2 linked regions of the Elephas maximus indicus genome follow. The protein of the gene in region 1 interacts with the protein of each later gene in a pairwise test. Links are inferred from orthologs where the notes say so. Each region holds a gene or a part of one and is shown on either strand. Other genes may lie near its edges.

Evidence for each region.
Region 2: the proteins of keratin-associated protein 26-1 (region 1) and GDPD5 interact in a two-hybrid assay, tested with the Homo sapiens proteins (2 studies listed by BioGRID and IntAct). The two-hybrid records come from large-scale screens. The link is inferred for Elephas maximus indicus from reciprocal best matches to the Homo sapiens genes KRTAP26-1 and GDPD5.

What each region holds. Positions count from the first base shown.
Region 1 is NC_064836.1:31,370,221-31,375,468, reverse strand, and holds keratin-associated protein 26-1, read right to left. Parts: upstream 1,141-5,248; coding exon 508-1,140; downstream 1-507. UniProt on the Homo sapiens protein: In the hair cortex, hair keratin intermediate filaments are embedded in an interfilamentous matrix, consisting of hair keratin-associated proteins (KRTAP), which are essential for the formation of a rigid and resistant hair shaft through their extensive disulfide bond cross-linking with abundant cysteine residues of hair keratins.
Region 2 is NC_064825.1:47,044,051-47,051,861, reverse strand, and holds the start of GDPD5 (glycerophosphodiester phosphodiesterase domain-containing protein 5), read right to left. Parts: upstream 3,006-7,811; 5' UTR 2,183-3,005; coding exon 2,045-2,182; intron 1-2,044. UniProt on the Homo sapiens protein: Glycerophosphodiester phosphodiesterase that promotes neurite formation and drives spinal motor neuron differentiation.

The DNA of each region.
Region 1 (5,248 bases):
TGATCCCTAGTCTTGCCTTCTCAAAATAAATTCCACCAAGGTCTTTTTCCATTTTTCAAGTTCATAGGCTCAGAGATCTAGAAGGTAGCTTGAGGAATAAGCCATCGAGCTATTCCCCTGCTGTCAGGTAAGAACGTAAGGTTGTGTGTCACCTGTCCTACTCACTTGTTTTATAAGCAGTGCAGGTTGGTAATTTCTGTGTTACGATAAAATAAGCAAAGACACAATGATGACCCAGATACATAATTGTGACTTAATCTAATTTATTACAATACGAACCAAATAATTTTTCCACACCTGAGTGACATTGAACAGCACATAAACCAATTATTTTATGTCAAAGAGAAATGACTAGAATAAAGATTATGAAATGAGCAACTTGCATTTGATCAGGCAGAGTAAAACTGAGAAAAAACTGTCACTACGAATAAAGAAGCAAAAAGTCCCCAGAGTGTGAATTTCGGTCCAGGTTTCTCAGCATCGTTGTTCTCTGGAATGAGCAGGCTACTAGTACCCCAGTGCAGAGCAAGACGGACGACAAGTACTGAAAACATGGGCAAGAGGTTGGCAACCACTGGAGAGAGGCCTCAGGGGTCTGAGGCTGCTGGACACAATGCTAAATGGTTGCAAACCACAGGCCAAACCACTCAAGGGTTGGCATCCGTAAGTGAGGAGGCTCAGGGGTCGGCAGCTGTTGGGCAAACAGTTCAGTGGTCGATAGCCAATGGGTGCACAGCCCAAGAGATGGCTGTTGTAGAGCAGAGGACTCAATGGACGGCAGCCACTGGGCACATAGCTCAGAGGTCTACAGGAGACTGGGAAGCAAGAGCTTGAGATGGAAGAAGATACAGGAAGAAAGCTGGTTCCTTGGCAGGGTCTGGGCACATAGTAAGCAGTGGAAGGGCAGCAAGAGTTGCTGGGCTCGCAGTTGGCTGGCTGGCAGCTGGTTGGTTCACTGCAGGTCTCTTGGCAGTTGTCCAGGAGCCAGGAACTGCCTTGACAGCTGCTGGGTAGGCAGAAGGCATCTCCATAGCTCACATTGGTAGAGCAGAGGGCACTGGAGGAGGTGACAGGAATATGGCAGATATTCCTGAGGGATCCTGAGCTATAGTTTCCAGAGCAGTAGTTGTGGCAAGACATAGTGAGGTTTCTAGAGCAGGCTGTGGTTGAGTAGAAAGAAGTAAGTGTCTCGAGTTTGACTGTGCCCTCACTTGGTTTGACCCTTATATATCCCTAGCAGGCGGTGGTTCTGTATTCAGACTCTCTTCCTTGTTGTATGAAGTCTGCATCAGAACTCATCATTATAGCTCAGAAATTGGCACTACCCCCTCCCATAAAACCCAATGTTTCTTGCAAAGCTTCCCCTCGATAAAGAATGGCTATAAACCAGTGTAGCTAAAATTTTAATAGAATCTTTCCTTCTTAAATCATCCAAAGAAAACAGACATTTTAGAGGCCATATACTTATTCCAATGATAACCACCACTGGACAAACATTCCCAGAATTCCTGTCTTAGAATAGTCTTTAAAAATTGTAGGAAACATCTTTGAAACAGTGGCAATTGTTTCTCCGACAAGGAGAATTCTATTCATTTTGGAAATTGCTGAAGTAAGTAACTTGGAAGCAAATGTGTTGAAAAAGAAAGTGGGCAATCCTATAACCTATAAGGTTTAGAGCAGAAAGAGCTTGAAAGTACTATGATATGGTGCCCTGGCAGGGCCGTGGTTAAGAGCTCGGCTGGTAACCAAAAGGTCAGCAGTTTGAATCCACCAGCTACTCCTTGGAAACCCTATGGGGCAGCGCTACTCAGTCCTACAGGGTCGGTATGAGTCAGAATTCACCTAACAGCAGTGTGTTTGTTTGTTTTTATAATATAGAAAAAGTCCATGTGCCCAGTTTTTTGTTTTATTTCAGAATCCTGGTAGGAAGTGACTTTCCATCAAAACATCTTGATTCACAAAATTTGTGTTCAATCTATTCAGTTCAATTAAAAAAAATGCTAAGTCAAGCTGTAAGCTTGGTTTTTGTTTGCAATATTTTGTTTAATATAAATAATAGTTGGGCTCATTTACAATTACTGACCCTGCCCTGAGCAAAATCAGATAAGCAGAACTCTTTAAAGAAAGTTTGGTGACATGATTTTTTTTGTGATTTTTTAAGCTTATTCATTTTATGGTGTACTTATATTCCAGCTGCAAATTATTGTTTATGGTCAAAAATAAGATATAATGATTAAGACATGGATTTGGTTTTGCTTCCTACATTGGTCCTGACATTAATTTAAAAAGAGGTGTTCTAACTGTATTTTTTTTTTTTTTTTTTACAGGCAATAGCAACAGGCTAAAAGTATAGCCTTCCTAAGTATGAGTATTTTGGAGGCTACTTGGGAATAAATTGTATGGCAAGGAGGTTTTAAAATGCATGATTTGGCTTATTTTCAATGGTCCAACTCTGTTTTCCATATACCTGCAAATCCAGGGACAACGGTGGCTACTTTAGCGTGAACTTAAATTATCTGCTGAATCTCAGTTCCAATTCCCTTTGGCTAAAAATTCAATTTATGTTACAAAATTTCTTCTACTTTAGTGTTCATTGAACCCACCTACTCTTATCAAGTCTTTCTCAGTCCAGAGGGGGAAGAATTTATGAATTGCCTATGAGGCAATACAGGCTGATTTTGCTACCAGAGGTAAAAAGATGAAGAGAAAATTATAGTCTCTGAGGTTCTGTCCCAACATGTGGAAATTATCTCGGTATTTTAGTTTGGAGGCTATTACCCTTTCATGATTTGTATCTAATGTGTTTCAATAGCCCCAGGCCTTCGTCACCTGTCTGACACTGTTTGTACCCAGCTGATGGAGCCTTCTTGTGAAATCCTGGTTGCATCAGCTGAATGGCGTTAGTAATAGGTAAAGCCATCTTTAACTGAATGATTGTCAAAATTGTGCATCAATACTTTATGCCTGCTCTTTTCTATGATAAGCAAGAGCCTAAGACCTATATCATTTTGACACCCGTGTAAGTATGTCTCTGTATGTATACGTATTATATATGTAGTACAATGGACTCAAACACGCCAAAGATCATGAAGATGGTGCAGGAACAGGAAACATTTCGTTATGTTACACAAAAGGTAGCCAGAGTGGGAGCCAGCTCAATGGCAGCTAACAACAACAATATATGTAGGCATGGAGTCCCTGGGTGATACAAATGATTAGCACACTCAATTGCTAATCTAAAGGTTGGAATTATGAGCCCACCCAGAGGCACCCCAGAAGAAAGGCCTGGTGATCTACTTCCAAAAATTCAGCCATTGAAAACCCTGAGGAGTAGTTTTACTCTGGCACACATAGGTAGTCATGAGTCAGGGTTGCCTCGACGACAGTTGGTGCTTGTATATATACGAGTGTTTTTCTATGAGGAGAAAGACTGCAGAAGAGGGAACCAGCATTTATTTATTGCCTACTATGTGATAGACCTTGTGGTGTTCACAGCCATGCGTGAAATGTCACTTTATCCTCACAAATTTATATAGTACATTTTACTCTTCCAAGTGTTCCTATGCGAAAATTTGAAATTTAGAAAGGTGTAGTAATTGATATTAAGCGAAACCTTTGAATAAAGGCTTCTTGACCAATGAAACATTTTTCCTTTCAGTATGAAATATGGCACTATGTTGAATGTATTGATACTGTCATTTACTAGCTGTGTGACCCTGGACAATTTGCGTAATCTCCCTGAACCCCAATTACCAACCAGTATTATTTCTGGGAAAAAATGGGAATATTAATAATATCTATTTTTTAGTTTTATTTTTAGGATTAAATATATTGAGATATAATACAAAATTAATGTAAACTGCAAAACACTGAAGATAATCTGTTCTTGTTGTTGTTATCTTATTTTTTGCATCTCTACTCCCTCCCAAAGAGTATCATCCATGAGACCCTATTTTTTCTTATTATTGATAAGTAACACTTTGAAAATATCTACAGCATTTCAGAAAATGAAGTCCCCCAAATATAAGTTCTACCTTAAAATAATACATGTTGAGTTGACGTTACTGAAGAGTGACTATGCCACTAACATGGAAGGGTTTATTTGGGCACAACAGGTATCTCATTAGTATGCCTGCTCTTTTCTATTATAAGCAAGAGCCTGACACCTACATCGTTGCAGGTACCTGTAAACTACAGGTTTACCTACTTTATTGCTTTTTCTTTAATGAGCCAAAGGTCCTTCCCTCTCTTACTCTATAGAACCCCTAATCTCTCTCTGTTGGATACAAAGAATCCTCAGAGCGTGATACATAGTGAGGGTATGACCATAACTGACAGGCATGTCATTCATTCAGCAGATGTTTATTGAACATCAAGGATGTGTAAAACATTGCGAAAGATGCTGGGGATGATACCCAGATATAACTGGCTTCTGCTCTCCAGACACGTTCAACCTTGTGTGTGTGATAATACAGGAGCATAAATTCTCTAAGAGGGGTACAGAGGAGGACAAACAGAACTCATTGGCATTACCTAAAAGTTGGCATCTGAAATTAATTCTTAAGAATGGGAAGAAACAACCGGCCGTTTGGGGAAGAGGATGAGACTTCAGGCAGAGGTGTATCCAAGGTATGGCAGGCATGGCATGTGCCCTGGGTGCCATGTGGAGGGGGTGGCACCACTGAGCAGTTTCTATTAACCATCTCAGTAGTTTCCTTCGCCAGCTGTGAGAGATCATTCAGCAAGTTGAAAATAGTAGTTTGGTATTTGAGAGGCTCCATGAGTCAAGGCAAACTGTGTGATCTTGCTACGCTGAGATGGAGAAGAAACAGAAAGAAATGACTTTGAGCACATCATAGATCAGTTTTCACGAGTGAAAGCAAGGAATAGTTGTCATTTTCATGTAGTGCCATAATGTGTTAAGTAAAAGGTTAATGAGCTTGACTTGTATTTTTGAGCTGATATTATGATAAAGTTATCTAGAAGATGGGTGTCAGATGTTTGGACAGGGGCAAAATTAGTGCTTGCATAGGCTCCATTTTCCTCAGATACACCTCTGCATCTATGGGCTATGCAAAAAGTATACTGAAAACCAAAAAACCAAACCCACTGCTGTTGAGTTGATACCAACTCATAGCGACCCCATAGGGTTTCCAAGCAGGCTGCCACATCTTTCTCCAGCAGAACGCTGGTGGTTTTGAACTACCAATCTTTCAGTTAGCAGTTGTTCACTCTAACCACTGAGCAG
Region 2 (7,811 bases), on another chromosome or scaffold:
GGATGACAAGGTTGAGAGCCTCAATCCAGGCAGGGGGAACGAGCAGCAGAGTGTAATGCACAGAGCAAGGTGGGTTTTGTTGGGGGGAATTAGCTTCTTTTCTTATGGGATTATAAAAACTATGTAAGAATATTAACCTACTTTTAGTCTTTTTTTTTAATCACTTGAGTTTTAGTTTTTAAAGCTTTTTGTACTCAAATGTTTAATTTTTGTGAAGACAAATCTCTCTTTTCTTTACAGTTTTTGCCTTTGATATTGTGCTTAAGAAAGGTGGCTCAAATTTATATATTTAACTCATATTTTATACTGGTAATTTTTCAGCATTTTAAAAATTGTAACCCATCCACCCAACGATAGCTCCATATAAATGCACCCGTGTATGGAGAAAGGCTTGAAATGCTTGTCTCTATGGGTTTTGTATATCATTAAGGCTAGGATTTCTTTTACTTTATCTCTTTTCAAATTCTTTGAATTTTCTCAACAAATGTGTGCTATTTTTCTGAACAGGAAAAAACAGTTTCAAAATAGAAATACCTTTTAATCCATCTGGAGCTTATTTTGGTTTGAGGTAAGAGGTAGGGATCTAATTTTACTTTCACCAAATGGGTACTCAGCTGTCCCTACATCCTTTGTGATGTCTGCAGTCATTTCCACCTTAGTTTACAGTACACTACATTGGCCTATGTATGCGGCTTTGTTTCTAGGTTTTCTTGCCTGTCCTCCTGTCCCAAGGCAGTCCCTTCACCCAAGTACTCCCTCTGGCTGATACTTGGCCGAGCCTGCCCCTTCCCCCCCTACCCCCACACCCCCCACCCCTGCCGTGGTCCCAGCTCTGCTTTGAGGTCACAGAGCCCAGCTACACCTTAAGCCCCATATAGCCCTGCAGAGACGGGGAGAAAGAGATGGAGGGGCACCTACCCACCGAGTCTGCTCATCTCTGGGCCAAATCTCGGGCATCCAGCTCCTCCTGCCATCAGCCTGTTCTAACCTAGCTGAGTTCCATATGTGGCAACAGATGCACAGAAAAGCCAGGACTGTCAGCTGGGAAGGGTGCAGGGAGCACCAGGGGGGAGAGATGTGCAGCCCCTCCAGGATCACTCTGGCCCTGACCCCAGGAGATTTGGGGGAGGGGTGGCATGAGGAGGTCTAAGAAGCATTATAGCATTAGGACAGAGCAGGCGAGGGGATTAGAGTCCCCACCCCCAACCCAGCCCTGACAGCCTAAGAGGCTGGATTTATTTTTTCTGGGCTACAGAGAGCTGGGCAATTAGGTCTCTGCCTGCCCTTGCTTCTGCTGGGGTGCACTCAGAGCGGCTCGTTAGGCAGGAAAATGAAATCAGGCCCAGCCTGGCACTCTCTGTCCCCACCCCTCACCCCTTGAGTTGCATCATCCAAGGGGAGACACAGAGTGGAGGAGTTTGGGGCCCTGAGGAAGTGCCATCCCAGAACCCCTTAGAGGGTCTGCCAAAGTCTCAGGGAGGGTGGCTGCAGTCCCTGGGGTGATGCCCTCCATCCTCTGCCCCATCCTCAATCCTTAAGCAGATGCTTAAGGCACTCATGGAGGGTCAAAAACAGGGGCTTAGCTGCTGCCACCTGTGAGGAGTGCGGCCATGCCAGGCCCCCTAAGGGCCATTTCAAAAGGAGGTAGGGTGCAGGGATCCCAAAGGCCAAAGACAGCATGTCTTGATTGCTATGAATCCTTAGCTTCTTGCATTGCAGAAACCAGGTGCCCTGCCAGCCCCTCTTCTGTCCATCCTGGACATAATAATACCATCTTCCGTTTTCTCACCCTCACAGCAACCCTGCAAAAAGGTAGTACCACCCTCATCTTAGAGACAGGAAAATGGAAGCTCAGGGCTTGACTCTGGCCCCTGCTGGGTCCCTTTCCCCAAAGTACCAGTGAAGAGAAAGGTGTCACTCTAAAGTTTGTAGGGAAGGCACAGAGTGTGAGAGATGGTTCCTTCTTATACAGGACACAAGGCACGCTCGTATCCCTCACCTAACTGGTCCCTTAGGCAGGACGTGGATTTAGGTCTACACTTACTCCACAAGCCAGTTGGGCCCAGAGGCTCAGGGACTTGGCCAAGGTCTCACGTTGAGTCAGTGGTGGAGGCAGGGCTGGAGTCCAGGTTGAAGCTTCCTTAGCCAGGAACGTCAGCTGCATCTGGCTGAATATTAGCATACCCTGGAGTCCATCCCAAAGGCGGCTTCATCCAGAAAGCCCGCCCCGATTCCGAGGTAGGATCCACTCTTCCCTTGCTTTGGGCTTATAGCAAGGAAGCCATGGAGCTATGATTTGCTTTGTCTCAGCCTTACCTAAAGAGCAGAGACCCCGGTATTCTGTTCCCAGAGCTGGGGAGGGGGTAGAAAGCACTGTGGACCCAGTGCCCCACCCCTCTCCCCATGGTCCCCTTCCAGGGCTGTGATACCCAAGCAGGAATGGCAAAGAGGGTATCAGTAGGGAATCCCAGGTCCGGGAGTCAGAGACTCTTTAAGAGGTCATCTGGCCCAGTCCTCGGCCTGTAGGCACAGAAGGGTTTATGGAGACCAGGACCCAGGACTGTAGGCTTCCAGCCTTGACTCTCACCAAGAAATACAGAAGTCAGCACAGGTCAAATAGAGTGATGCATGGAGGACTTGCAGTGAATCTGCTTTGGGGCTGAGGGCTGTGAGCGACATGTGACGAGGGAGACTGTGTTGGTAAGGCTTCTACTATGGACTAGGCATTCACATGGACCATAAACCAAAAAACTAAATCTATTGCCGTCAAATTGATTCTGACTCATAGCGACCCTATAGGACACAGTAGAACAGCCCCGTAGGGTTTCCAAGGAGCACCTGGTGGATTCGCGCTACCAACTTTTTGGTTAGCAGCCAAACTCTTAATCAGTACGCCACCAGGGTTTTCTCAAGTGGACCACCTGATCTAATTCTTTACCACTCCTCCAAGGGGGTGACTCCTCTCCCCATGCCTCAGGAGAGGGAGCTGAGACTCCAAGAGGCAGAGGGACCTCTTTTCTTGATTCAACAGATGTTGACTGGCAAGTCCATGCTGCCAGGCTCTGTGCTGGACTCCAGGAAGTCTGCTGTGACACACGCGGACCCAGCTCTGCCCTCAGGACAGATAGGCAGGTCACCAGGCCATGCCACTCCAGGAGGTCAGTGCTGCAAGGGGGTGGGGGTAGTGAAAGGGGCTCTGGGAGGACAGGGATGCCCCTAACCCAGGTACACAGGCCACAGGTACACAGCAGGTGGTAGAGCTGGGACAGAGGCCAGCTCTGTCTGCCTCTATTGCTCTCTGCTGCTGTGCCAGAGAAGACCAAGGAGAAGAGAGGAGAGAATGAGTTCTGAAGGGGGTGGGGGGACAGGAGGTCTGGATTCTGGCTCTCACTCTGTTGCTGACTCCTGTGGTTCCTGGAGCCACTCACTGGGCAGCTGTGGCCTCAGTTTCTCCAGATGTACCATGCCTGAGTGATGTACCCACAAGACGAACTAACATTCTGGAGAGTGCTTTGCTAACTGTACAAACAGAAGGAAGAATCCTTGTTAGGAAGTATCCTTCCCCTCCTCCAGGACAGTACCCCTCCGCTTGGGGCTGCCCGACACCCCTGACACAAACTCACATGGTTGGGTGATAGGACAGTAAGGTGGGGAGCCAGCTGGAAACTCACCCCCCTCCTCCTGCCCACTGGCAGAGCTTTACCCAGCTCCAAGGGTGGCCTAGGGGGCCTGCAGCTGAGTCAGCACCCTCTCCACTGTCAACCACCACCAGGGCATAAAAGCTAGAGCTAAGAATGCTGCGCACACCTGTCCACACATGTACACCTACCCTCCCCAGACCACCTGACACCCACCGGCCTTGGAAACCAGGGTCATGGATGAAGACAGGAGAGAGAGCAGGGGAGCACAGCAAGCTCATCAGGGGCCTGCCTCCCCACCCAAAGTCAGCAAGATGGCAGGTGTACTCCCTAACTGGCTTCTTCCCTCATTCTTCAACTCATCTGCTCAACCATCCTTCTAGGCATTCACTGGGCAAACCAGGCCCCTGGCATGGGGCAGGCCCAATCTCTGCCCTCAAAGCACTCAGGGCCCTGTGGGAGACACAGAGAATCACAATCCACATAGCTGGCACAGGCCCAAGGTGCTAAGGGATCTGAGGGGGAAAAGGAGGTAAGGATGGAGAAGGAAGGGGGGAGGGATACTTCTTAGAGGAAGAGACATTTGCAAAGAGCCTTGAGAGGCAGAGACAGAGAAGAAGGGCATTCCAGGCAGAGGTGATGGCCTGAGCAAAGGCAGGGTGCTGTGAAGGGGTGAGGCATATACTAGGAAGGGGAGAAGCTCAGTGGGGCAGTGTAGAGGTTGTGGAAGGAAGGGGTGGAAAAGGAGCTGATGGATTTCCTTGCAGCAAGTGTCTTCCTGCACGGAAGGAGGGAGTTTCCCATTATAGAAGGTAGGCAGTTGGGGCTGGGCAGATTGATTTTGTCTATACACCTATGCCTCAGTTATCGACTACCTCACTATCTGACATTTTGCACTTACAACAATATCTGGCTATTTTGCACATTGATGATGTACCTCTGGTAATAATCCTTTTATGACCAGTGGGACATACAGTGCCCACCTACGTTTTCTGCCTCTTGGGTCCAAAGGGACATATGTGTCCCACATAATATTTTGTGATTTGATGTGGTTATCCTCCATTTTTGCATAATGACCTAGTCTTTGGAACCTAACCATGTTAATAACTGAGGAGTGGGTGTATTCCACCCACCCGACTGTGCCCTCCCTGGACTCCACTTAGACTACCTTCTTTCTCACCCTCCTTCTCGCCCACAGCCAATCTGTTGACTATACTCTCTCTGTGTCACTAGAAGCCCTCCCCTATTCTACTTCCCTGTGACTGTCCCTGGCCCCAGTCGAGGCTTTTCTCATGTGGCTCCCTACTCTCCCACCTCTATTCAACTGCCCTTAAGCCATTCTTCACACTGTAACCAGTGCGGCCCTCCCACAGCCCAAGTCAGACTCAGGTCCCCGTTGCCCAGGATGAAGTCCAAGCTCCTCAGCTCAGCCTTGAGGTTCCAGGGCCCACTTGGCAGAACCTCCCCGCTCCTTACACCCTAGCCACACTGCAGCTGAATTACTTTCAGTTCCTAAACAAAAGACACATTATTACACATGCAGTTCCTCCTGCCTTGAGCTTCCCCACACCTTTCAGATATCAGCTCTGGTAGGGCACGGGCTCAGCCTCGAGGCTCTCCCTGCCCCAGTAGTGTTTCCCTCTGCCTCCACAGTGATCCCCCTGGGTGGTCTGGGTGTGTTGGCTCCTGTCTGCTCCCTCACCAGCCTGGGAGCCCTCCAAAGAAGGGAGAACCAGGTCTGATCCACTGTGACCCAGGGCCCATCGCAGGGCTAGGACCAGAGCAGACATCACAGCAGGGTTGTTGATTGAATAAATAACCATTGAATCCCAGACAAGGCTGTGTGAAATAGGGGAGAGGATACAGGATGGGGCTGCAAGCAGGGGGCAATGAAGGCTGGGCCTTCAGCTCCTCAGCTTGAGTAAATCACATACTTTTCCTGGAGGGGATCAAATAAGCTTAAAACAGCCTGAATCAAAAGGCAAAAGATGGTATAGAAATGCCAGAGAGCATCGACTCTCACTGTCCTGTCTCCTTCAGTGTCTCTGGCTGGGAAGTTCCTCCAGGTGTCTGACCTATATCTCTCTTGCTATAGAGAAGCTGGGTTTGACACTGTGCTCCCTCCCACAGATACGATGTCTTCAGGAGGTCCTGTGGGGACAGCCTGAGAAAAATCTTCTGTCATAAAAAGTCCTTAATTGGCAGCATTACAGTAATGAGTCACAGGCAACAACCAATTAATTATTCCCAGTTATAAAAAGCTTCACTTCCCCTTCCTTACTGGTGAGTGAGCCGGCCTCCTGCGACCAGACTCCTCCAATCCCGGAGCTGGGGAAGGAGAATAGGTCATGCCACATCTCTGGTCCTCAGTTTCCTGTTTCCTTATTTGTCAAGCGTGTGCCCTGGGGGAAAGGGGCTGTGTGAGCAAGGGCTGGAGGAGGTGGGAATGTGGCAGGCTGGTAGGGGAGGAAGGAAGGAAGGGGGCCAGCTTGGCTGGAAAGGAAGCTCTTTGCCCACCCTTCAACCACCCCAGGGTTCACTTAGGTACTTGAAGGCTAGATCTTAACCAGGAAAACCCTGAGGGTTCCTAGCCTGGCATTCAAGGCACTCTAGATCTTGTCCCAAATCCTCCTGGCCCAGTGTTCTTTCTCCTCCATCAGGCAATTTCCCAAGTCCCCCACTCCTCCTTTCATCTCCTTCCAGCGCTCTCATTTAAACACACATACTCAAAATATACGTGCTCTCTCCTTCAACCTCCATCCTCCTGAGGCACGGGCTGCAAATCTATCTGACTCCCTGGGTGAGGCTCCACCCATAAAATGGGGATAACAATTAACCATGCCCCATGGGGGTGTTTTAACAATGAATGGGGCAATGCCTGAAAACCACTTGGCAAGGCTCCTGGGCAAACTGTAGGTACTCAATAAATGTCAACTGTTACTATTACTGTCATACTTCATTTGCCAGCGGGAGGATGACCGTGAGATGCTTCAGAGACTCACTCACCCATCTGTCACCCCATTTCACAGATGAGGCCCAGAGAGGTCAGGCTTCACAGAGGAGGGACTTGCACACAGGCTTCTCTGAGTTGAGGGATGCAGGTGGGGTTAGGGGCAGAGGGCTCCCCCAAGAGAACCTGAGGGGAGGCAGTGGTGCTGTGGGCAGGGGCAGGTGTCCCCAAATGAGGAGGGGAAGGTGGGAGTGAGGAGAGGTACAAGGGCCACTATTAGACCCTCCTTGCTCTTGCAGAGGCCTCTCCTCCACCGCCCAAGCCCCCAGCGCTCTCCTCTCCTCTCCTCTCCTGGCCCCAACAGTGTTGTTCCCAGGGCTCATTCTGGGCCTCTGTTCAGCAACATTTATGGAGCACCTACTATGCACCACCCAGTCTCTGAGACATGAGATCGCTGTTTTTTTCACTGTGCCAGGCCGAAAGCCCAGCCCCCATCACTGTCCTCTCCCAGCTGTTTCGGGAAGAATGCGGAGAAAAGAGGAGAGAGAGGCTGAGAGGCTGAGGCATGGAACCCAGGAGGTGGGAGGAGAAGTGGGAGTGAGGTGAGGGGCTGGGGGAGGGAGAAGGGGATGCTCATCCTCTGCTGTGAGTTTCGGGGTCACCTGAGGTGAGTTCAGCCCTCTCTGCAGAGGCCTTACCACCCAGAGCTGCTGCAAAATCCTCTCCCCACTCCCAGCCAACCTGGTGTACAGCCTCCAGCTTTTGCCCCAACCCCAGTGCCACTGACCCTGGTGTTTGCAGAGCCTGCACCACTCTGGTTCCCAATCAGCTCAAACCCAGCTCTGGCCCACAACTTCCTCTACCCTGGGCCTTGTGCTGGCCACAGCCAAGAGTTATCACTTCCTAAGTCCATGGCTTGCGCCTGGCCAGTCCAGAGCCCACCAAAGGACATGAGACATCCTGGGCGATACATCTGTCCTGATGCCAGGACAGTGTCTGTCCGGATGGCCAAGGGCTTTCTGCTTGGAAGCTCAGTCACCCTTCTCCCTTCGCCTCAGCCATTTTCCCATCCCCGTCCCTGCTGAGAGCACAGTGTTGAACCTACATTGCCTGGGTCCAGATCCTAACTCTGTTCCTCACTAGCATCCCTATCTTCAGTTTCCCCAACTGTGAAATGGGGCGATGATGATCTCCAGCTTATGGGCTTGTTGGGAGGAACACAA